Linked DNA regions of Arabidopsis thaliana. The protein of the gene in region 3 interacts with the protein of the main gene of each other region in a pairwise test. Each region holds a gene or a part of one and is shown on either strand. Other genes may lie near its edges.

The links.
Region 1: the proteins of AT4G14420 (region 3) and IQD12 interact in a protein complementation assay, tested with the Arabidopsis thaliana proteins (one large-scale study listed by BioGRID).
Region 2: the proteins of AT4G14420 (region 3) and UTR2 interact in a protein complementation assay, tested with the Arabidopsis thaliana proteins (one large-scale study listed by BioGRID).
Region 4: the proteins of AT4G14420 (region 3) and AT4G01410 interact in a protein complementation assay, tested with the Arabidopsis thaliana proteins (one large-scale study listed by BioGRID).

What each region holds. Positions count from the first base shown.
Region 1 is NC_003076.8:1,066,889-1,073,038, forward strand, and holds IQD12 (IQ-domain 12), read right to left. Parts: upstream 3,277-6,150; 5' UTR 3,032-3,276; intron 2,902-3,031; exon of another isoform or gene 2,809-2,901; 5' UTR 2,796-2,808; coding exon 2,721-2,795; intron 2,648-2,720; coding exon 2,006-2,647; intron 1,943-2,005; coding exon 1,445-1,942; 3' UTR 1,270-1,444; downstream 1-1,269. Other genes in the region: AT5G03970 (F-box associated ubiquitination effector family protein), read right to left, coding at 4,833-6,089. UniProt on the Arabidopsis thaliana protein: May be involved in cooperative interactions with calmodulins or calmodulin-like proteins. Recruits calmodulin proteins to microtubules, thus being a potential scaffold in cellular signaling and trafficking.
Region 2 is NC_003075.7:12,058,744-12,065,647, forward strand, and holds UTR2 (UDP-galactose transporter 2), read right to left. Parts: upstream 4,116-6,904; 5' UTR 3,744-4,115; coding exon 3,621-3,743; intron 3,260-3,620; coding exon 3,231-3,259; intron 3,150-3,230; coding exon 2,948-3,149; intron 2,858-2,947; coding exon 2,615-2,857; coding exon of another isoform or gene 2,592-2,614; intron 2,546-2,591; coding exon of another isoform or gene 2,518-2,545; coding exon 2,416-2,517; intron 2,333-2,415; coding exon 2,192-2,332; intron 1,996-2,191; coding exon 1,888-1,995; intron 1,840-1,887; coding exon of another isoform or gene 1,806-1,839; coding exon 1,575-1,805; coding exon of another isoform or gene 1,564-1,574; 3' UTR 1,441-1,563; downstream 1-1,440. Other genes in the region: AT4G23000 (Calcineurin-like metallo-phosphoesterase superfamily protein), read left to right, coding at 37-334, 492-640, 719-904; AT4G23015 (uncharacterized protein), read left to right, coding at 1,564-1,839.
Region 3 is NC_003075.7:8,300,575-8,306,679, reverse strand, and holds AT4G14420 (HR-like lesion-inducing protein-like protein), read left to right. Parts: upstream 1-2,683; 5' UTR 2,684-2,941; coding exon 2,942-3,009; intron 3,010-3,824; coding exon 3,825-3,939; intron 3,940-4,036; coding exon 4,037-4,126; intron 4,127-4,213; coding exon 4,214-4,312; intron 4,313-4,404; coding exon 4,405-4,509; 3' UTR 4,510-4,829; downstream 4,830-6,105. Other genes in the region: IBR10 (indole-3-butyric acid response 10), read left to right, coding at 1,048-1,770; bHLH104 (basic helix-loop-helix (bHLH) DNA-binding superfamily protein), read right to left, coding at 5,177-5,419, 5,507-5,669, 5,751-5,831, 5,916-6,105.
Region 4 is NC_003075.7:575,947-581,089, reverse strand, and holds AT4G01410 (Late embryogenesis abundant (LEA) hydroxyproline-rich glycoprotein family), read right to left. Parts: upstream 3,063-5,143; 5' UTR 2,783-3,062; coding exon 2,099-2,782; 3' UTR 1,803-2,098; downstream 1-1,802. Other genes in the region: CBL5 (calcineurin B-like protein 5), read left to right, coding at 1-60, 134-242, 371-423, 511-591, 677-789, 1,016-1,052; AT4G01400 (oligomeric golgi complex subunit-like protein), read left to right, coding at 3,847-5,143.

The DNA.
Region 1 (6,150 bases), on a different chromosome or scaffold from region 3:
AGACCGCACACCAGCTGTGACTCCAAGAAGTATGTGTCAACATGGTTTGTACCAATGTACCTACACTATACATTGAGAAGTGTTTTTAAGAACAGAAAATCATACAACAAACAATGTCTTATCTCAACCACTGCCAATATTGGTTTAATATTGTATCAATAAATTTTTCTTAATAATTTAATTCACAAACAAAAATGTACGTATATTATTTCACATGTACACATGTACACATGTACATACATTAATTTACCAACAAAAATGTACGTACATTATTTCACCATCTATTTTTATTTAATTATTATGTATGTATTGAGATTATTGAGATATAAGAATACGTAATAAAATAGTTTTAGTTATTAGAATTCGTCCCATATATGTTCCAATAAATAATTTCGTGTACGTACACTATAAATTGAATATACGTACACAGAAAAAATTCGATGAAGGGTATAATTGTAATTTTTCAGTCATCTTCAACCTGTGTATCCTTTTCTGCAAACCTAATTTTGCGGCCGTCTTTATTAGTTTTCTGAAAATCTCATTTTTTTTACGTTTTGATTACTATTTATAAATAAATCTTGTAAACCTAGAGTATCTTTAGTTTAAAAAGCTAAAGTGTTTGTATCTATGAGCTTTTTTTTTGCATTTTGTTCATCTCTGAAAACAAGAAATTTGTTCCTCAATTTTGGAGTTCAATGCAAAGATGTCGAAATATGAAGGAGTGGATAATGAATTTTGAACTTCTTTCTACTTCTCTCTCGAAATACTCCATCTCTTTCTCTTTTTCTTCTTCTTCGATTTCTTTGTTTCAGTTTTTTTTTTTTTTTTTTTTTTCAAAACTGAACCACAGAAACTAAACCGAAATCAAGTGCTGTGTGGTTTGGTTGCTCCCATTAATGATATTTTAGTCTGAAAATAACTGAAAAGACAAACGGTGAAAACCATATCTCACTTTGGTAAACTACGAGAGCAATTCTTTTTTCATCTACTTATGTGAAAATTTCTTTTTATCTAATTAACGTTGTGCTCTGCCTCCTTTGTATTATTTGATCCTGTTATTGAATGTTCCCATACTAGTTTCGATTTGCTACTTGTTCTTTTATTTCCACCTCTGTTCAAGAGATACTAGTTCATTCACAAGTTTGATTAGACTTGGTGGATGTATATATGTTTTGTCTCTTTTCTACTTTTATTCCTAGACTAAGTGGCTTATGTTTTACTCTTCTATATACTTTGAATTGCAGCTTTCAAGAACAGAGGCTAAGAAGATCAGAACCAAAGTATATTTAGGAGGATCTTGAACAGAAATGAACAGAAGCAAGACATCAAACACCAAAAAATTGACCTCTTCATAACCATATCTATAAAGCACATGAGATATGAGATCCAAATAACAAAACAACTGGGAAAACCAAAGAAATAAAGTGACATGAATGTTCAAGATTCAACAATTATGTTGATATGTGGTCAGAGACGACTTCTTAGCGTTGTTGATCTTACTATTTTCGCAGACAAAAGTAGACCAGAGAGAGACTTTATCCCCATCCTTCTTGTAGTTATCAAACAAAGAATCCATGATCCCTACACGTTGCCTTGGTGTGCTCAGTGATCTCATCTTTTCCCTTGCAGACTCTGTCACACTCATGTACGGCTGGAAACCATTGGATCTTTGAAACCAGCTCTCGTCTTCCAATATACTCTGCTCCAAACGGCTGAAAGATCTCCTTGGGAAAGAAAATGGAGAGTCTTGTCCATCACCAGAGTCTTGTCTCTGCAAAGATCTAAGCTTTACTTTTGTAGGGACAAGCATTTCACTTGGAATGAGAAATGAGTTGATGGATTTTGCAGACTTGGATTCACCCCAATGTTCCAGCCGACAGCTTCTCATCCCCATATCCTTAGCGTACAGTGACTCCACAAGCATATGAGGACTTCTTCTCTCCTGCAAAAACAACTCCTTGAAAAACTAACCAGATATATAAAGATCTTGAGAGAGAGACTTTACCCGTTGAGACCGGGAGTATTTCAACATACGATCGCGCTTGATCACACCTTCTTGCTTCCTCAACCATATGGCTTTTATATCTTCCTTCGTGAGAGCACTACTGTCCCAACCATTGCACTTCACCTTTGAGTTACACAGCGAATGGTTCGATACCTGAAGCTCCTCTTTGATCTCAGATTTGGTATTGGACCAATGCTTTCTCTCTGTTTGTCTCTGGATGATGTTTGATGTTGAAGCTTTGTTGGAGTGTGAAGACTTCAATAAAGCAGAAACCTTTCGCCTAACAGCTCGGCCACGCACAATTGCTTGAAGCCTTACAAGTGCCTTAAGCGCCCGCAACGCTTTCCTGGCCAGAGAAGCCCTGAATGCACTCTGAATCTTGATAGCAGCCACATTGGGAGCGAGCTTCTTGACAAAATGTTGTGATGTGAAGGCGTTTCCCGCCATCCGGACAACCTCAGCAGCTGCCTTGGCGGCTGCAACCGCTGCCTCAGCTGCTGCAGCCGTGGCAATGGCTACATTCATTGCATGTTTCCTCTGATCCTGTGTTGCTTCGTTCAAAGTCCTTGTCTCTTGCCCACAAGTGGCAAGCTGCGGTCTCAGCTTCAGCCTTTTAAACACCCATCTCAATCTCCTTGGCTTCTACGTAAAAAGAAGAATCATTTTAGATTCAGAAACATAAACAATTCATAGTGTGTAGAGAAAGAAACAAAACCTTCTCTGCTCTTGCTTTGGCCTCGCAGATGAATAGTCTTTTCATCCAACCGAACCACGACCTCCTCTTCGCCATTAGATGGAGTTCTCTGGTAACAAATGATAAAATCCTCTTATTAAGTTGATCAAGAAAACAGAACAAACATCTAAAGAAGATCCATTAAAGATCGAACCAAAATAGGTATATATCCACAGATTTTGTGTTTCAAGATCATTAGACTCATCAATATATAAATCACATCAATAGAACAAACGATATAATGATGTAACAACACATTAGTGTCTAATAGGTATGGAAGAATCTTACTTTACCTATGAACGAACACAAACCAAATGATGAGAATCAGGAAGAAAGATGATGTGGGAGATTCAGACACTTGTGAAGAGATGATTTCAAGTGATGTCTAAATATAGTGATGATCCTCTCTCTCTCTCACCTTTTCCAACTGTCACTTTCACTATCTATATGATTACTGACTTGTTCAAACCCCTAACTCTCCTTTTTCTTTTGCTTCTTAACCAATCACTTTATAAATTCATACATTCTTTTCTTTCTTCCTACTTTTGGCTTGTGATAAAAGAACATGTGGCTTGTCAACGTATCTAATATCTATGCCTCCAAAATATATATGAAAGTATGTTAAAGTAGATTATACATATTTTAATGTAACCATTATATCGCTTGAAAACTATATACATTGGACTCGTAAATTATTATAGCTTTGGGAGAAAAGAATAATGACGACAATGAGTGATAGTACAGTTTAATCATTAATAGAGAAATAAAATTAGATACATCAAACTTTGGAGATTTTTAATCAAAGACTATTTTGGGTTTCATTTTCTTGTAGTTAGGGGTGATTGTTGTCTTGTTGAGAATGCTAAAAAGTATTAGTCACTAAATGTTTATAACTCACTAAAATGACATTATACGAAATAGCAGTAACGGAGTTTTAATTATGAAACTGAGTTTTAACACCCAAACTTGGTAGAAACTCAAAACATGCACATATTTATTACTTTAAAAGTTTCATAATAATGAGCTAAATTTATCAAAGATTCACAAATCTCGTAATCGGATGAATATCAATAAAAATTAGTTGATGGTGGTGGTCCATATAGACCAAAATTCGTTGTTGAGTAGATCATTACAACTTTAGTTATCATGTCATTGAAACAATGATGAGCCATGTGAGCCATATATATGATATGAACATATATAGAGAGCGACCTATAGGTTTTGTTTAGGCCTTTATAAATAATGCATTGGAGTTTCTCAACACAGTTAAAGATCCTTTTGAGTTGTCATAATGTCCCACCACTCTTTTAACACCAGCTTCTTTTTCCCTTCAAATCCAACAATATTAGTGATCATCTTTTTTCTAGGCATAATGCATAATTTTGAAATGTAAATCTCACTTGAAGTCAGAATTGTTGGTGCATATTTAGACGGGTCTCTATTTATTCAAATCAATGATCTTTACAAATATCTTAACATAACATTTTCATCATTCATAAAAAGATAAAAGGGAAGAAAAAGGTTGCAAGCAAAAAGAAAATAGAAAAAAAATCAATGTACCAATAATGAGATCATAAAGTTATTATCTGTACCTAAGATTACATAGAGAGAAACTATGATCTGTTTCTTAGATCACTACATGACTTTATAATTATTATTATGTTTATTCGTTTTTTAGAAAATTGAAAGAACAAACATTCGTCATTACATTTCAAAGAATGTGGACATTCTCCAAGTGACCCATTAATTCAACTTATAATATTGAAACTATTTGGATCAACCTATAACTTAAGAACTATGTAGACAAGTGACATCGATTATCTGTGTAAATAAATTGATCTGTTTTATAATTTGTTAGATTGAACCATTTGTTCTATGTGTAAATTATCATAAATTAGCTACAAACGGAGTCAACCACAAAACGCAGATCCAAAACGCAAATGCAAAAAGGCAGAGTCTTTAATGACACCCATGAGAGAATACATCAAAACCATGAGAGGTTCATCAATGGCCAAAACCAAAAACCTTCAGCATCAAAACATAAAAGATAGTTGAATAGCCTACATACATAAACTGATTAAAAGCATAAACTACTTAGTTACTTCCTGCGGAAGAGGCGTTGCATTGAGGAGTGTCGATCATCATGGCATTGTTTTCAAACAGAGGAGAACAAGGCCAGGTACGTCGAAAGTAAGGCACCACTTTGTTGAAATCCCAAACGAGTGTCGATTTTCGTCCTTGGTACTGAACTACTTCGACCCTTTTAGTCTCTGTGTGATAGATGAAGATTTGTGTATCACATCTGATGTACACCAAGTCCGACTTCTGATTGAAGAGCGCAAGCAGCTGCGTTTCTTTAGTCCAAGTGCTGAATCTTGTAGCTACCGCTTGGTTCATTTTCCACATCGCCTTGAAATTCACCTTAAACAGCAGGTTCCATTCAAGCACATTGCCTACCTTTTCAAGCTTCCATACCTCCATTACCGACTTATTGCTCCATCCGTATTGTAAAGACCCATCATCGGTTTCTCCCAGAACCTGTTCATCATAGTCATATGTTTTCGGAAGCTTTATCACATCAATCCGTTTCTCCTCACTGTTTGAGTCATATATGGCAATTTTACCTCCTCTAGCATGCCAATAAACAACGCCTTTAATCACTCTCCCTGGAGTCCACGGGCTGAGAGATAGAGGCTCGAGACAAATAAGCTCTGAGTAGCTCCACGTAGAAGTTTTTGAGGAAAAAGTCTCTACCTTCACCTTTGTACTGTTAACAGGAAAGGCTACACACTCTGCCCGGACCACCTTGTAGCTAAACCCTTGATCAGGACTATCCTCAGAAATCAAAGACATACAAAGTTCTTCGAAATGAACTCTGGGACGTGGAAGTTGCTGCTGCTTCTGTGTACTCGGATCCCACAAGTAGTAAGCTTTTGGATGGCGGCCGCAGAGTAGAAGACCATCTGCAGAGTCGATGTAGTATCCAAGCTTTTTCAGAATACCAGAGGATTCAATTTCATCACCAATACTGCTGGTTGAGAGCAAAGGAAGAGATGGCTCAGCGCGAGGGCGACGAGTTCCATCTATGCGTCTTCCAAGGTACATTGAGCTGCAGACGAAGAAGCCAATGAGTTCAAAATTAGGTTTCCACTTGGCTAAGTAAGTGTGACGGAAGCAAGGGCTGGCTATAATCTCAAGCCATCTCTTGGACACCAAAATCAGCTTGTATATCGTTTCTGGTGGAAGCAGGATAAGAATCTCACACATAGTATCATTACTGTTAAGAACCTCATGAGTACTCAGAGCAGAAGTCATCCCCAAATTGGTTTTTAACCTGGCAGAACAAGACATTGCAGACACTGTTTCTTTGTTCATCAGTAATAGAAATCCAACACAATCAAAACAACCACAC
Region 2 (6,904 bases), 3.8 Mb from region 3:
GAGAAAGTTTTTATCTTCATTCCTTGTTGGTTTCAGTGTGAGCTAGGCCATATCTTACGAGGCGATTCATTTTCTGGCCACTTGGGGAGTTTCTTTGGCACAGTTTGGAGCTCCTTTGTGTATGTAACAGAGCAGTCATATGTGTCTTTCACCGGGGTTCTTATGTTGCTAATAACTGCAATTATGTTTGTTCCCTCAAAAATATCTCGGAGGAAACGACTGTTAATTGGAATTCTTCATGTTTCTGCACACCTGATGGCTGCTTTGATTCTTATGTTGCTGTTGGAACTCGGCATAGAAATCTGTATTCAGCATAAGCTCCTTGCAAACTCCGGTCAGTTTCCTTTCCATAGAATGTTGTGGCTTTCCTCATTACAATGTCATTGACACAAGTGGACAAAAAATATGTGATCCTACTTTAATTGATATTTTTTTGTATCTGTGATCAAACCTTAATGGATTTTGAGATTTTCAAACTTTTTGCTACACAGGGTATCATACATTGTATCAGTGGTACAAATCAGTAGAAAATGAACATTTTCCGGACCCTACTGGCCTCCGAGACCGTATTGAGCAGTGGACGTTCGGATTATATCCTGCCTGCATCAAGTATCTTATGTCAGCATTTGATATTCCCGAGGTAAAATCGTCAACTTAGCCTTCGTTTTAGCTGAAATAGAAAACTATTTTTCAGCCGAAAGTAAAGTATTTGACATAGGTGATGGCGGTTACACGGACTAACATCTGTCGAGAAAGGAATGGGAGTCACTTTCTCGAAGCGGAGCAAGCCATCTATTATGCTTCTGTGTTCCTCTACTTTTGGGTTCTTCTCAACCCCTGTTGTATCTTTGGTTTTTGGAAGTTACTTATATATATCCATCAACTGGCTTCACATACACTTTGATGAAGCATTTTCTTCACTTCGGATCGCCAATTAACAAATCATTCACCCGTTTCCAACATCAAACCTGATGGAGACCTTGAAGTCTTCACTCTCGGAGTAGACAAGGTGAGAAAAACAACTCTCGAAATGACAAAAGAAAAAGTTTGTGATTATAGAATTAAACAGAGGAGTGTATGTGATGAATGAGTACAGGTGCCAAAGGAATGGAAGCTGGACAAGGACTGGGATGCAGAGCCGAGATCGACTGTGAAAATGAGTCATCACAGAAGGTTTCCAAGCAAATGGTGTGCAACAACATTGCAGCAGGATCCTGTCAACACCGTAAAGATTGTCGATAAGTTTGTTATTCATAGATCAGAGAAAGAAACTGGAGGATCTTAGATAGAATCAGGTTCTTCACTGATCCTGTCGTTTAGAATGTAGTCATTAGCGTTTCCCGCTTTATGAATAGGCTTTGAGACGAATAATGCTTTCTTCTGAGAGTGATGACAAAAATAATTCATATCATAGTTAACAATTTAACAGCTCAATCTTTTGCAATTTCACTTTAGAATCTAATAACAAGTCTCTGACACAACTTTAACTCTATTTTGTGTCTCCTTCATCCAACATTATTCTATAAACCCTTTGAATTTGTGAGATAAAATATATATAAATACATGGCACATTCTCAAACCAATGACTTCCTTTCTTCGTCCTCTTCTCTATCACCATCGCCTCCTGCGATCCTAACCGCTGGTCTCGCCGGAATCTTGGCCGGAGCTTTACTATCCATTGGAACCATCTTCAATACAATCCCCATTGCTATCAACAGCAAGCCTGATCCGTGCTGTTCCGTTAACGGCTTTGTGAATATCAAATACGACAGCAACAATGTAACCCCTTTCCTAGCCGTTGTTATCTACACACAACGAAATGTGATTTTAGACCATTGAGTCAATTAAAATACAAATGAGTATTCAAAGATAAGATTAGATATTTACCAAGGCAGTTGTGGCGGCTCCAAAGAGAGCAATAAGCGAGAGAACGGAGACTTGACCGATAAATGTGGCCATGGCTTCAAATACAAGCACTCCATACACATACGGATGCTGCAAATATAAACAAAGCACAATTGGTTTTAAATATGTCAACCAATGAATCATTAAACCGTTTGACTATAAAATATTCCACGTTGGTACTTAAGTTATGGAATCAATGAATTTAAAAGAGACAATTTGGCTTTTAAAAAGTTTGGCAGATTCAGAGGCACGTCGTCGGTCAATGATCTCTCTCATTTCGTGGTACCAAGAATCCTACAAATTTTGACTTTTTCTCTAAACTGAGTCCAACTCCGGTTTGAATCATAAACCGAGTCAAATCTATAGAAGTACTTTCAAAGCCAAATAAAAGGTTCCACTCTTTGTCACTTTCACTTAAAATGGACGACTATCTCATAAGGTTAACTTGGTTTGGTTAAAGGTTGACCAAAAGTCAAACCAGAAAAAAGAGAACAGAGGTTGTTTACTTACTTGTGCACACGCAGTCCACGCACGAAAAACCTCTCCGGTTAAAACCATGGGAACGAACAAGAACGGTAATCCAACAACTGTTGAGCAGAAAAGCATCTCCATCTGCACAACACACATAACAAGAGTTAATCTCAGAAACGAAACAAAACAGACCGGTAAAGGAAAACCGAAAGAACCGTGTTTTCTTTAGTTTCCTTGCCTGAGTTGTCTCAGGATTCATTGTGAAGATAGCTTCTTGCAGATTACCCAAGAAAGCATCCATGATCAATGCACCGGTTATCATCATAATCCCAATCATACTGAAATTTGGAGACATTTGCGCATCGGCTAATGTGAATAGGATCAAACCAAGAACAAGCAAGAACGCTGAAATGTATTCATGGACTGGGTATTTTCTTCTAAGACCGGGTATAAACGCTCCCATTATCATCACCGGTAACACCTAAAACATCCGAAAGATGGTCATTCCGATCATTCTTTAAACTCAATTTAAACTCATTGAGACTGTAATTGGGAAATGTGGATCTATTACCTTGGTGGATTTGAACATGATTTGAGCTGGATAATTGAGATAAGCCAAAGATCCTTTGGTTAAACCATGTGAACCCATGAGAACAGCAGAGAGTTTGACATAAGTTCTCATCGGATTAACTATATGCTTTGTGGTAAAGCCTTGAAGGTAGATTAGAAACAAGTAGACAAATCCTTGTATAAACGTGAAATACCACCCAAAGCTACAAAGACAGAGCAAAATCCCATTGTTAACTTTTGTTCAAATCTAAAACTTAAAAGAGTAATCAAAAGTTGACTTTTACCTAAATTGAAGACGATTATAAACATATTCCTGCAAAACCAAAGAAAAATAAATCAAGTCAATGATCATATATGAGTACTTGTAGATCCAATCACATTCTCTAAAATCTGTTTTCTTTACAAAGATCACAGATTTTTTGTGATCTCTCACAAGTTTGGAGAGAGTTTAGTTCGTCATGCAATTTTTTCTTCTTCCTCTGTTTTTTTTTCTCTCAGAAACAAAACATCAAACACTTAGCATGCAAGAGATTGAAAATGCAAAAAAATTATAAATTTACGAGATTCAGGAGCTGGGTATGTGGAATTATGACAAAGAACAAACAAAAACATTAACGTTGATTGATTATGTATCAAAATTCTCGAATCAAATTGCAAAAAAGAGAGAAACGAACCTCGCAAACACCGTTAACGAGATAACCAAAAAAGAAACCAGAAGTGCAAATGAGAAACTGTTGCCAAGTTGGTTTATCAGACAAAGAGATTCCAAACAGAGATCTTGTTTGTTCCTCCTTCATTTTTCTTTTCTTTTCTTTGAGGAGAGATTCAAAGGAAGAAACCCAGAAAGTGAATTAAGAGTAATTGATCAAACACATGTAAAGTGATGACTCATAACGGTATTATTATCACTCCTCGAAATAACGAAAACCACACCACAAAAAGGGTAATCAAAGAATAATTAAAACCAAATTCTTCACTCTCCTCGAGAAACTTGATGAAGAGGGAAGAGAGAGTTAATAGATGTATTGGTAAAAGAGGAGGAGGAAGAAGAGAGCTTTTAAGAAGGAAGGAGAAAACGCATGAAGAAGAAGAAGAAGAAGAGACTCGTCGCGTGATTTGCCACTTCGGGACACGTTTTTTCTCCATTGAGCGTTCTTCTTCTTCTTTTTACGTTTCCTGTTACTCTTTTTTTTACCGGTAAAACTCAAATTTGCAAGTAAGACCCTTAACGTTTATGTATGTTTGATTTAAGTCTGAAACTTTTGTTTATCTACACACCACGACAAAATTTGCATTACCAGCGTGGCACATTTTTTTGTCTTAAGTCTTTTATTGCATGATCTCATGTTTGCTAATTACGATCATATCATATTATTACCAGCTTGGTATATATATATATATAAAATTTGGGTTTTAATGACAGTTTGTGTTGTATATGTGTTGTTTGAAAAATGTATTTATAATAAATTTTGGTATAAAAATAAGAAAAATAAATGCTATGACTTATCAAATAAAATTATCTAAATTTGTCTATAAAAAAAAGTATCAAAGTAAAATGGAACAAATAAGGGTAAAAATTGATATATAAGAAACATATCAAATCAGATCTTGCTAGTCAAAATTGTAAATTTTTATCTACATTTAGGATCTGTATATTGACTATGTTTTCTAAATAACATTTGTTAAAAAAAGTGAAAGAATTCAAAAAAGTAGTGTGACAATTTTTACAAAAACCTTAATTAGAAGTCTAAAATCATATGATATCATCAAATCTTGATATAAAGTAAAAAGAAAGTGTGTCACTGACTCTACACATTAGAAAACTAGAGGCACTAATAAAAAAAATAAGATAAACTTTAGGGGTGCGTTTTCATATTTTCTTTATTTGATGCAAAAGAAAGTTACTACTTCGAGAGAATAAGAGAATAAAAAGGAAAATTTAATAAAGATAATCAATATGGCTTACGAGTCAACTTTCCGGTTTAAGACAGATTGAGTCATTGTCTCAATAGACGCCATTACAGTCTGTCTTTTACAATTTCATCATCTTTCCTGAATTTTGTTTTTGTTATTTTCGGAAGTGATTGTTAAATGCGTTACAGAAGTTCTGGTCATGTCAGAATTACATATTGACATAACATCTGGACACGTTTTGGTAAAGAAATCAATTTACTCTTTTTCTTTTCATCTTCTATATCCATATTGAGCAATAAACTTCACACATGCATATTCATTCTTTCACCAACAGAGTAGTTGTTTTGTTCTAGTTGAAAACTCTAGTGAACAAATTTGGAGGAACATATACAAAATGTGTAAGCAAAATAATGACGATATTTAGTCAATGAATTGAAATGTTTTAGAAGAATTAGGTGGCGGTGTATGGTGAACAGTCGAAATATACATTATTATTGGCTATTAGTTCTAAAGAAGCGATTATAATCGTCGTATATGAAATAGCATATAGACAAAATGGTTTGTTTTAAAATAGACCGTTTAATAATAGCTTTGATTAGTGACACTGATAAGTTAAAATGGAATAGAAAATAAATTAACTATGAGTCTATAGTCATACAAATATCATATATGCATATAGGCGTCGCAAAGAGCCAAAGACCATATTCTTTTTTTTTTTTTGGTCAAAAGCCAAAGACCATATTCTTTTCTTGAAATACCAACGCGAAACTCAACAATAAATCTGATATTTATTTTATTTTTTGTTCAAAGGCTTAAATGAGAGAGCTTACTGCAATATTACAACAACAAAAAAATTGCAATTGGTATTAGAGATTTTTTCCTATCAAATTTATTTCTATTAGAAGGTCAAGCTTTACGTGCAATTGTATTAATACATAAAGTTACAAATGATAATCTCTACACATAACAAAATTGATCTTACTCGTAGATATTTTTCTTGCTTAAAACCATTTGTGTGGTTCATAATAAACGGAAGACTTCGATCGAGAGACTTTTGCATATGCAAGCAACCCATCACATTTCACAAATTGACAACAATATTATTGCTAGAAAACTATAGATTTATGTAGATATATATTTTATTCTTTTTTGTTAAAAAAAAATCAGACATTTACATTCAAACTCAAGCGAGTAAAAGAATCAAAGTCGTTAGAGAAACAATCCAGTGACGTACGGTCAAATAGTGTGGGCCTTAGCTTCAGCCATTTTGTACAGAGTACCGGAATCTTACCAAACACCGAAGGCAGGTCCAGTTACACTAGTTAGCGGTTACGTCTCCTTCTAATTTTCATAGATGAATTAGTTTTTTTCTTCTAAATAAAATACGAATTTTTAATAAGATTTTGTGTTATTATTGATTATGGACACTGTTACTGCCGTATTATCATGCGCAAAACAGGGTTGGCAAACTTATAATAGGTGATACTTGTACAATTTATCTATATACTTATTAATTCAAATTCAAGTATTTGTGTAGCTACTACTACAACTAGACGTGATAGTCAGCATATATGAATTATTCTTTCTTTGCTAGGAATATTTTTAAAATATTATAAAACTAAATTTTTAAAAGAAAAGAAAAAAAAATTATACACTTATACGTATAATTTTAAACAAGTAGTACTACTGTACAACTTATATACAAGTCCTAAAACTTAGTAAATTATATTTATATCGTTAAATTTGGCTTATTAATATTAAGGCATATAACTGAACATAGCACGAGTATGACTTTCTTGTATACAATAAACAGAACTATACAATATATATGTCCTATGTGACTACGTGTGATTACAAAATGCAGTGATATAGCCTATAGGTAATTTGCCCCCAAAAAAAACAAACTATAGGTAATATGTCGCAATTTTTGGTTAGTGCAACAAATGCAAATTATTAAAATCTAACAATATATTAGTAAACAAGTTTTCAAATATCGAAATTGTCTCCATGCGTTCAAGCGTCTCTCTCTCAGCAACAATGATTT
Region 3 (6,105 bases):
CATCTATTTATAATATCCAAATTACGTCATATGACCATAATCGTATATATCGCCATAAGATAGAATGAGAAACGGGTGCAGTCTGATCAACCAAACTCAACCGAATTAGACAACCCACGAGAAACCTTATATGGTGTGGGGAATTAATCCAAAAGACAACATTGTATATAGAGAGAGGAAGTGTTACACAAAAATAACCATTTTTTTTTTTTTTTTTGAATGTAAAACCAATACAATAAGTCAGTAACGAAGATGGAAAAACCAAACAATAAACACATATTTTCTTGTTACACTTGAGCTATGCTTTTTCTTCTTCTGTCGTTAATTCCAACGAGATGTGAGTGGACATCCAAGGCGGACGAGGAAACGACTATGAAGATCAGATAGTGTGACGGTACAATTCTATTTAGATCGAAAGTAGTATATTCGGTAGCATTTCGGTATGTTTTTACCGAGACTTACTGAGTCATCCGATAATAAAATATATAAAAAAACGATTATAAAGATAAATTGTATTAAAAAAAACATGTGTAACTAAAATTATAGATTTCTTTAAAGAAAAAAGGAAAGAAGAAGAATCCTATGAGAAAGGAAAAGATGGTTTATATCATTTCTCATTGACATTAGTGAGGATAAAACTTTTTAAAGAGATTTTGAATTTTCTCTAGAAATTTGCGAAAACCCTTTTAAAAAAACTAGATGCTCTTTTTGTAGAGAAAATATTTATTTTCATAATCTTGATTGAAAAATTAAATTTTTTTTTCAGAAAAATCAAAAACTAAAAACATGTTAGATATTAGTACCATTCAAGGTCTAAATTATATTTGGTATTAAATCCAAATGAAATTATGTTTGACCAAAAAAAGAGATCTCGTACACGCCGGCCCATGGGCCTTTACAACAGATTGAACCAAAATGGAAACATAGACCAATCAGGATAAGGTATATTTCTCTCTATATTTGCACAATTCAACAACAACACGATTTCTCACACATTTCAAGTTTTCATTATCATCCAGAAATCTTCTTCTTCCTCCGATCACCACCATGTGTACGTTAGAGAAACGCGGCGATCTCTTCCTCCTAACCCTAACCGGAGACGGCGAACACAGATTCCACCCCGACACAATTGCCACCATTCTCTCCCTTCTCGAACAAGCCAAATCTCAATCCACCCGTGGATCCATCCTCATCACCACCGCCAACGGCAAATTCTTCTCCAACGGATTCGATCTTGCATGGGCTCAAACCGCCGGATCCAAAACCGGAGCCGCAAACCGGCTTCACCAAATGGTTGAATCATTCAAACCGGTGGTAGCAGCGCTTCTCGATCTCCCTATGCCGACGATCGCCGCCTTGAACGGCCACGCCGCCGCCGCGGGATTGATTTTGGCTTTGAGCCATGATTACGTGTTCATGAGGAAAGATCGTGGGGTTCTGTATATGAGTGAAGTTGACATCGGGCTTTCGATGCCGGATTATTTCTCGGCGTTGGTTAGGGCTAAGATCGGGACGAGTGCGGCGAGGAGAGAGCTGTTGTTGAGTGGGAAGAAGATTAGAGGAGAAGAAGCGGTGGGTTTGGGGATTGTTGACTCGGCCGCGTATGATAGTGAGGAAGGTGTTGTTGTGGCTAGTGTGCGCCTTGGTGAGAAATTGGCGGCGAAGAAATGGAGCGGTGAGGTTTATGCGTCGATAAGGAAGAGTTTGTATCCGGAGCTTTGTGGGATTCTTGGTTTAGAGACTAGAGTGTTTGCAACACCTAAGCTCTAAGAAAGCGTCTTTCAGAGAGTGAATCTTTGGTTTATTTGAAAAACACATGTTTTGGGAGAAAGAGACAATGTTAAACTCTAGAACTGTGATCACAGAAATAATAAACATGTTCAATGTTGGCTTGTTCAGTGTTGTTGTTGGGCTTGTTCTTAGGCTTGGTTGTTTAAAATATGGAACCGGTTTAATCGGTTTTAGAGCTAATTAGATGAACTAGAGATAACCGGGTTGTAGTAGTTATCGGAGAAGGAGAAACGGTGTTGTGAATTTGTGATTGCTGAAATTACGCCATGTTAAACCGGTATTAAAACACAAACTGTTTTTCGTTCGAAAACGCATCTATCAATCTTGGTCTTTTATGTTCCTAAAAGATAATTTACACACTCCCAGACATGTAATAATTAAACCAGCATTAGCATACAAGACGACAAGAAAAACTCACCAAAAAATGATAATTTTAGTTGTGACCCCTTTTTCACAGTATAAATTCTTTTTAAAACTTTATGCAAAATTGTATTAAATTATATTATATGAAATAAATTTAAGTAAAATTGTTGCTTTTTAAAATTTAACCTCTTTATATTACCATTATCATAAAACAGAATGAATCTAAATAGAAAAATTCCCAAACAAAATCTCAACTATTTAAAAGTTGCCCAGATTCATATACACGATTTCATATATAAATTTTTTCAGTTTTATCCTAAAATAAAACTAATTTTATTTATTTAAAATATCAAATTTATATTGATTTTCTAAATAAATACCAAAGGGTGATAAAATAGTTTGGTATTTGATTTGAGGTTAGTTTTGATTTAAAATGTTAGTAATAATGAGTCGCGTTTTATTGGTTGCCGGCTTAAATACTTGAAATGACTCGGACGAACGTCATTGGCCAGGCAACGTGTAAAGCATCCTACGTGGCGTTTACTTCCCAACGAAGTAGCGAGTACAAAAACCAACATCATTGTACTCGCGCGAGTAGGTCGACGAAATAAAAATCTCACCTTTTTGACCCCAAAAATTTCTAAATATTTCAAAATCAGCCTCTTCGTTTTCTTTCTCCTCCTGTCTGTTGATTTAAAGACCCAAATCTGACGCTTCTCTCTCTCTTTCTGGTATCTGCGTTTGATTCGGAGAAGAAAAAAAAAAAAAAGGCAAAGAGAGAGCTTCAATGGAGTTAGCTTCTTTCCTTGGTAGAGCTCTGTTTGTTTCCGTATTTCTTCTCTCCGCATGGCAAGAGTAAGCAATTTCCTCTTCTTTACTCGGTTTAGATCTGTAAGTAGGATCTGCTTTTTCTTTATATCTGAGAAAATTCAAAATCTGGGGGCTCTTTGTCTCTGTTGTCTTAGAGAAGTGCACAAATTATGAATCATGGATTTAGGTTTTAGCTCGATTATAGCTGAGTGAGTGAGTTCTTGGAGGAGAAAGAGAAATAGAATGTTGGACAGTGAAGGAAAAGTATGGATCTTGCTTGCTTTGCTGGGGTTGAATTTGATAGATAAGATATCTCTGGTTAGATTTTGTTTCTGATTGGTCAATAACTGTCGAACATTGCTATGTTTTCTTCTGTTATTACATCATTCTCTAATTTTAGCACTTTGTTTTTTTTAAGTTCTTTCTTTTATTACTCATTAAGTGGGTTGTCCTGAAGTTGCGAAGTTTCTTGTTGAGTTGGTCTCGTTGGTAGTTGGTAGTTGGTGGTTGGTTATTTAAGCACATGATTCTAAAGTCTTGAAACCAAGAAAATCTTACTAGGTGCTTTGTTATGGTTGTTGTGAATCAATTTGACTCAACCAATGAACTCATATATTGAATGCCTGTATAAGGAGTTTCTCTTCTAATTTCTTGTTTTAAGTTACACAATTCTTCTGACGTTACAAATGTAGTATCTTTATACGTTGATTGAAGAAAACTTTCTTTGTTCCCCTTGACTGTCTGCTTGGTTTAGTTGAAAAGCATTGCTATTTGAGTCTCTACAGAGACAGTTTACCTCACTTTTGTTCTTTCCCTCACTGATTGAAAGTTCCAATATTTTTAATGACTTCATTGTTCAGGTTCAATGATTTTGGTGAAGATGGTGGCCGATCAGCTAAATCTTTGAAACCAAAATTCAATGCCTTTGTAAACCATGTGACAACTCACACTGGCCAGCAATTGCCACCAGTCGATGTATGTGCTTCTTCATGTCCATTCTTTGTCCAAACACAGTAACCAAATCGTTTTTTTTTTTGTTTTCCTGTTTTATTCACTTTGCTTTGGTTTGCAGATGAAGATTCTTGTTGCTGCTGCTATAGCCTTGAAGGGTATTGGGGGACTATTGTTTGTCTTTGGCAGCTCATTGGGAGCTTATCTCTTGGTATGCACCAACTGTTCCTTCGAATATATTGTCGCTTATCAGAATGACGAAAACAACCCTGTTTAACTCTATGAAATCTGGTTTCAGCTTCTGCATCAAGCCGTTGCCACCCCAATTCTGTATGATTTCTACAACTACGATGTTGACAGAAAGGAATTCGGCCAACTATTTTCAAAATTTACACAGGTTAGCTAATGTCATATTGGTTGTTTAATGAAAGTTTAAACAACTGTTGACATAGACCTGAGATCTTTTTCTATTCTGTGTTAACTTTTCAGAGCTTGGCTCTTCTTGGAGGACTGCTCTTCTTCATTGGAATGAAAAACTCAAGGAAACACGGTAGGCAACTCAGGAAAAAGGCTCCAAAGGCAAAAGCAAACTGAAGAAGCCATATCTTTCATCGGTTTTATTCGGTCTGTATTTTATTTTCATTTTGGAATCCAGGATGGGTTTAAAGAGTCTATCTGATGAGGCCATTGAAAGGCAAAATCTCTGCAAATCATTTTGCTTACTTCAAGAAGCTTTTATGACACTTTTTTGTAGAAATATTTATGGATTATTGTTTCTTAGAGACACCACTTCAATGTTATTGTTCCAACTTATTTCACAACGCGACTGATTTATTAACCTACGGAATAGCCATCAGCTCAACCTTTGTAAATTCATTGTCACTTTGGTCCTAATTGGCTAATTTGTTGCTACTCAGTGAATGGTAAAAATAATTATTCATATAGCGAAGAATACAACAGCAAGAAGCTCTCGTAGCTCAGTTGGTTAGAGCACCCGTTTAGTAAGCGGGAGGTCTTGAGTTCAACTCTCAACGAGAGCAACATTTTTGGTCTGAGCTAAAGTTTTTGATAACTGAACTTTTCGAACTCATAGATCAGAGAAGAATCACAAGTTTCTGGAGTTATATTTATTTTATAAGAAAAATACAACCCAAGATCAAGAGTAAAGCTTTTACACTTGCCAAACGGAAGAATCCTAAACCAAGTGATTCAGAAATCTCTATGAGTTCCCTATGGGTACCAAAAAAAAACAATTGAGAGTTTAAGCAGCAGGAGGCCTGAGTTCTTGATCACGAGATGTGTCACGAACGGATTGAGGCATATAATGCCACATTGGCATGTAACCGTAACTTGGATAAACAGCCATTTTGTTGTGGTTAAATGCAGCTGGAATATGAGGTATGAACCCTGAAGATGGAGCCGTCATAGACTTTAACTGTTGTTCTGTCTTCTCTTTATCCGCCTTCAACACCAGCTTTTCCTCCCTCAGCTCGTTCTTCTCCGCCTATAAAGAAACATACAAACTTAGAAATCTGTTCACATCCCATTGAACAAGATTCTTGGTTTAGGTGAAAGTGAATGAACAACCAACCTTGAGACTCTTGATCTCCTCTAAAAGCTTCTGGTTAGTTTCTTCAAGCTTAAGAGCTTCATCTCTAAGTTGATTCAATATACGGATTGCATCATCGAGTATAGCCGGTTTATCAGTCTTAGGAGTCCTCCCAGGCTCCAAAACCGAGCTCAAATCCATAAACCTAACAGAACAACAACAATTTTTTTCCCCTTGAGACAACTCACTTCACAAAACAAAAACATAGACTAAGCTCTAAACATACCTCTCATTTAGCTTCTCCCTCCTCAACCTTTCACGACACGCTTTAGTTCCTCCTCCTCTGCTACACGATCCAGTCCTTGCCCTATCAACAACCATCACAGATTCAATTAAAAACACAACCAACTACCACCAAATCACAAAAAGTTTATATTTTTTCAAAACTCACCGCTTTCTGGAGCAATCGTCATCTAAATGTTCCTGTTCTTCCTTAACAGCTCCACCAGATGAACCAGAATTGATCTCTACTTCTTCTTCCTGCACAACTTCACAATCTTGTTGCCCCACCTGTTCTGGCTCTAGCGACAAAACTCCATTATACGAGGACAAATCCAATTGAGAAGCTCCAATACTAAAGA
Region 4 (5,143 bases), 7.7 Mb from region 3:
GAAAAATTTCAATTTATCTTGATCAAGAATACCAAAAAGCGCAGTCTTTCTGCAGAACGGGTAATTGAATTTGTTATATTAAGCGAAATAAATAAATAAACTTCGATTGATGTTGTTTCTCTGAAATATGCAGATTTTTGGATTATTCGATATGAGAAACGATGGGGCTATAGATTTTGGAGAGTTTGTACACACACTCAACATTTTTCACCCAAACTCATCACCAAGAGATAAGGCCATATGTATGCTTCATCACTTCTAATGTGTTTATTCATTTATTCCATGTTATTATTATTTTCTATATAGCTAGAGATCAATGTTATTAACTATAACCACAAATACATCTGATCACTTGTTTAAAATTAAACAGTTGCATTTAGATTATACGATACTCGTGAGACTGGATTCATTGAACCGGAGGAGGTACGTATGTAAACTTTGTCTCAAAAAAAAGAAAAAGTCATGATTAATTATATTTGACGGTTTTCCTCGACTTGGAGAAATCTATAGGTGAAAGAGATGATAATAGACGTTCTAGAGGAATCAGAACTTATGCTATCCGAGAGTATCATTGATTCTATCGTGTCTAAGGTGTGTATAACGCTTAAGTTTATGAGCTTGATTTAACATTATAGTGATTTTACTTACTATTTTTGTTTACTTATATTTGGCAAAGACATTTGAAGAGGCCGATTGGAAAAAAGATGGGATAATAGATTTGGAAGAATGGGAGAATTTTGTTGCCACCTATCCTTTGACACTAAAGAACATGACTATCCCTTTCTTGAAGTAATTCGTTTGTTTGTTTTTCCTAACCATTTTCTTAATATTCGCTGATAAATTGCATGTTTTAGATACATCTTTCGTTTTACAAAAAAAGTAATATATATACATCTTTCAAAAACAGCTTTTATATATGTGTGTTTATGCATATATTACTATTATCTTCTTTTATTTTATTTTTCTTGTTTTATAAATCGAGATAATTATTCTAAAATTAACTTTTATTGTACAGGGACATTCCGAGGATTTTCCCAACCTTTCTCCGGTAAAATCAGATGAGGTGTTTGCTAGAGGTTTTTGTTTAAAAATATTTTTATCCGAAAATCACATAGGTAATTTGTTATAAGAAATATAGAAGGTTAATTATTATATAAACATATTAACTATCGAAAGAAATCTTTAATATTTAACGAGGATAGAAAGTAATTGTTTTTAACCACAAAGCTAAAGCTGTGATATGAAAACTTAAAAGCAAAGATCGGTTCGTGAAGACAAAATGGGGTTTTGGAAAAGGAAAAGAGGAAAAAGAAAAAGAACAAACGTGTGAAAATTCGAGAAAAATGGTAACACAAAAAGAAATTGGACATGATATAAGTTGCCAAAACCAAAGAGAAAAAATTGACATGATATACCAATCAAATTTTTGAATCAGGTCAACTAATCAAATTCACAACAATCATCCACAATATTATTTAGATTTGACGCTTTCACTGTTTCACATGAAAATTTTACATTTGACGCGATGACTTGTGGAGTCACGATCATTTTAGTCACTCGTTTTAAACGGATGCTTCATTCAAAAAATGTAACTTATATTCAGAAGACTCCTAACGTCCGATTCAGATTTACAAAAAAACAATATCATTGAATCGGAAAACAGAAAAGCATAGTAATATTCTAAGTATTTAATTATAATCGTGAGGAAATAGTTCCGTAATAATGGGGGAAAAATATATATATGATAAAACCAAAATGAGATTTGCCTGAAGATGCCATATGTCTGATCAAACACTCTGAGCTGTTGTGTCGATGAACTCACCATATGCCAAGATACGCTATTAGCGACAACACATTTGTATTGTCAAATGTCATTAATTAACATCCACAGGTCCAACAACAGAGAAACAAAATAATTATCACAAGTAAAATATAAAATTAGTAATATACTTGTACTTATAATTTTTGGCTTATGCCTTTTAATTTATTTTAACACTAGACTCGACGAAACTCATCACTAACATGACCACAAAAAAAAAAGATTACAATTCTAAAACACAAAGATTAAAAAAGAAAACATAACGAAGTAAAATTAAGACTAGACATCAACTTTACAAGTTGAAGGAGCGAGAAGAGGAACTTGTCCGTTAGAAGATGGATTAAATCTCAACCACACATCACATCTGGCGTAAAATCCATACCGTCCAGTCTTAATCGCACCAGCTTTCCAACGTAGCCTCCCAAAAATCACCACTCTCATCAAAACGACGCCGTAAGCTTCATCATTTTTTAAACCATTAGCTACTTCCGGCGAGACTGGTATACCGTTGCCTCCCATCACCGGAGCTATCACAACCGTAGATTTATGTCCTAAACGAAGCGGTGGTAGTGGAAGCGGCGGTGTTATGATCTGATCTTTGTACGTTACGTACATAGAGAGCTTGTCGTAGTGAATGGAGACTCTCCGGTTAGGGTTTCTTGCTAAAACGCTGAACTGAACGGAGGTTGAGATTAACGGCGGCGCTGTGAAATTCAGGTCGTAGATGGCGGCTCCGACGACGGTGAGACGTGGTTTATGTGGACGGTAGACGAGCCAAAGGATTAAGGCTATGATACCTAGTATGACAAGGATGGTGAAGATCGCGCCGCAGATTGCGCGGCGAGCATCTCCACCGCCTCCTCCGCCTTCTTTAGAGTAAGATTCTGGCGTTGAAGAAGCGGAGGGAGCGTTCTTGTGATCTGCTTTGGCTGCGTGCTCTGCTTTTGCTTCTCCTTCTCCCATGGCTATACTCTACAGATATAAGTGTTAAAGTGTGTATGTATAGGTATGTGTGTGTCTATACGAGAATCAGAGGGTTCGGTGAAGAGTGAAGACTCTAAAGAAGGAGGAGGAGAAGAAAGAAGATAAGTAGATGCAAGGTTTTGTCTCTTTTCTAGTTAATAAGAGTAAACAGTCTTCTAGAGTACAGTTTTATTAATTGTTTATTAACTTAGAAAGCTTGTAGTTGTAATTATGTGTTAAAGCTAATCTTTTTATAAAGTAGCCGTAAATTACTACTGTTTTTACATTGTGATTTTATTTTGTTATAATACTTAATGTAATAATATAAGATAGAGAAGTACTTTCGAAAGACTCCAAATCTCGGTGCAACCGTTCACGTGACGGATCTGATGAGTGATGAATTTTTTAAAAATGAAAAATCCAATGTAACGTGTATACATATGGCTATACATAATCAAATACTTTGTTGTCAATGATTGACTTATTTGGTGACAACTATGGTTTCGTGCAACGTGATAACTATCACTTTTTGGCCGTGTTAATTTTTAAAAAAATTAGAATGAAATTTATCAGGTTACGGCCTGTCAAAGTTAGCAATAACCTAATATCTGTTTGCATGCCAGAATACGGTTATGTAGAAAGAAAATTAAATTATCATATTTCACAATTCTTTATCAACTGTATAAAGCAATTAATAATAAATTAATTAGATACCACATGTGTCATATTTGTTCTAATGTTTAGAAAATAAAAGTACAAGTCTTTTATGTCCACATCTCCAACAATACTTCTGACCAAATTCCATATATTATTAGTAAGCTTCCAAAATAAATAATAATCACATTTAAGAAGAATCTGTTATTTAATCACACTAACTGAGATACCGCACCACCGACACTGTAGTCACCGACAATGCTGTGGATGCTACCTGGGCCTCAATTATAAGCCCATTATAAAATTGGGCCTACACTAAAACTATTGTGTACAGAGAGATATTTGATAATTTGCTGACTGATACAAGTCTCACTTCCAACGGCCGATTTATTAAAAAAAAACTCCGACAAATGATTCGCCGGCCGATCTACGACTTCGCCGCCGTTTTTCGCCACTTAACTTCTCCGTTATCGACATCCTCGCGTTTTCTGTTCTATTCTTCATCTGAACATGAAGCTCGAAAACCGATTGTCTCGAACCCTAAATCCCCAATCGGGTCTCCGACTCGGGTTCAAAAGCTCATAGCTTCGCAATCGGATCCTCTCCTCGCCAAGGAGATTTTCGATTATGCTTCTCAACAGCCCAATTTCCGCCATTCTCGATCTTCTCATCTAATCCTCATTCTCAAACTCGGCCGTGGTAGATATTTCAATCTTATCGACGACGTTCTCGCCAAACACAGATCAAGTGGTTATCCATTAACCGGAGAAATTTTCACTTATCTGATCAAAGTCTACGCAGAAGCAAAGTTACCGGAGAAAGTCTTAAGTACGTTTTACAAAATGCTGGAGTTCAATTTCACGCCGCAGCCAAAACATCTGAATCGGATTCTAGATGTTCTCGTAAGCCATAGAGGTTATCTCCAGAAAGCTTTTGAGCTTTTCAAGAGTTCACGGCTTCATGGAGTAATGCCTAACACGAGAAGTTACAATTTATTGATGCAAGCTTTTTGTTTGAATGATGATTTGAGTATTGCATACCAACTGTTTGGTAAAATGCTTGAGAGAGATGTTGTCCCTGATGTGGATTCTTATAAGATTCTGATACAAGGGTTTTGTAGGAAAGGTCAAGTGAATGGTGCTATGGAATTACTTGATGATATGTTGAATAAAGGATTCGTGCCTGATAGGTTAAGTTACACGACATTGTTGAACAGTTTGTGTAGGAAGACACAGCTTAGAGAGGCTTATAAGCTTCTATGTAGGATGAAGTTAAAAGGTTGTAATCCTGATCTTGTTCATTACAACACGATGATTCTCGGGTTTTGTAGAGAAGATCGTGCGATGGATGCTAGGAAAGTTCTTGATGATATGTTGTCTAACGGTTGCTCGCCTAATTCGGTCTCGTATAGGACTTTGATTGGAGGATTGTGTGATCAAGGAATGTTTGATGAAGGGAAGAAGTATCTAGAAGAGATGATATCCAAAGGGTTTTCTCCTCATTTCTCGGTTTCAAATTGTTTGGTAAAAGGGTTTTGTAGCTTCGGGAAAGTCGAAGAAGCTTGTGATGTTGTAGAGGTTGTGATGAAGAACGGAGAAACATTGCATTCAGACACTTGGGAGATGGTAATTCCATTAATCTGTAATGAAGATGAGTCGGAGAAGATCAAACTGTTTCTTGAAGATGCTGTAAAGGAAGAAATAACCG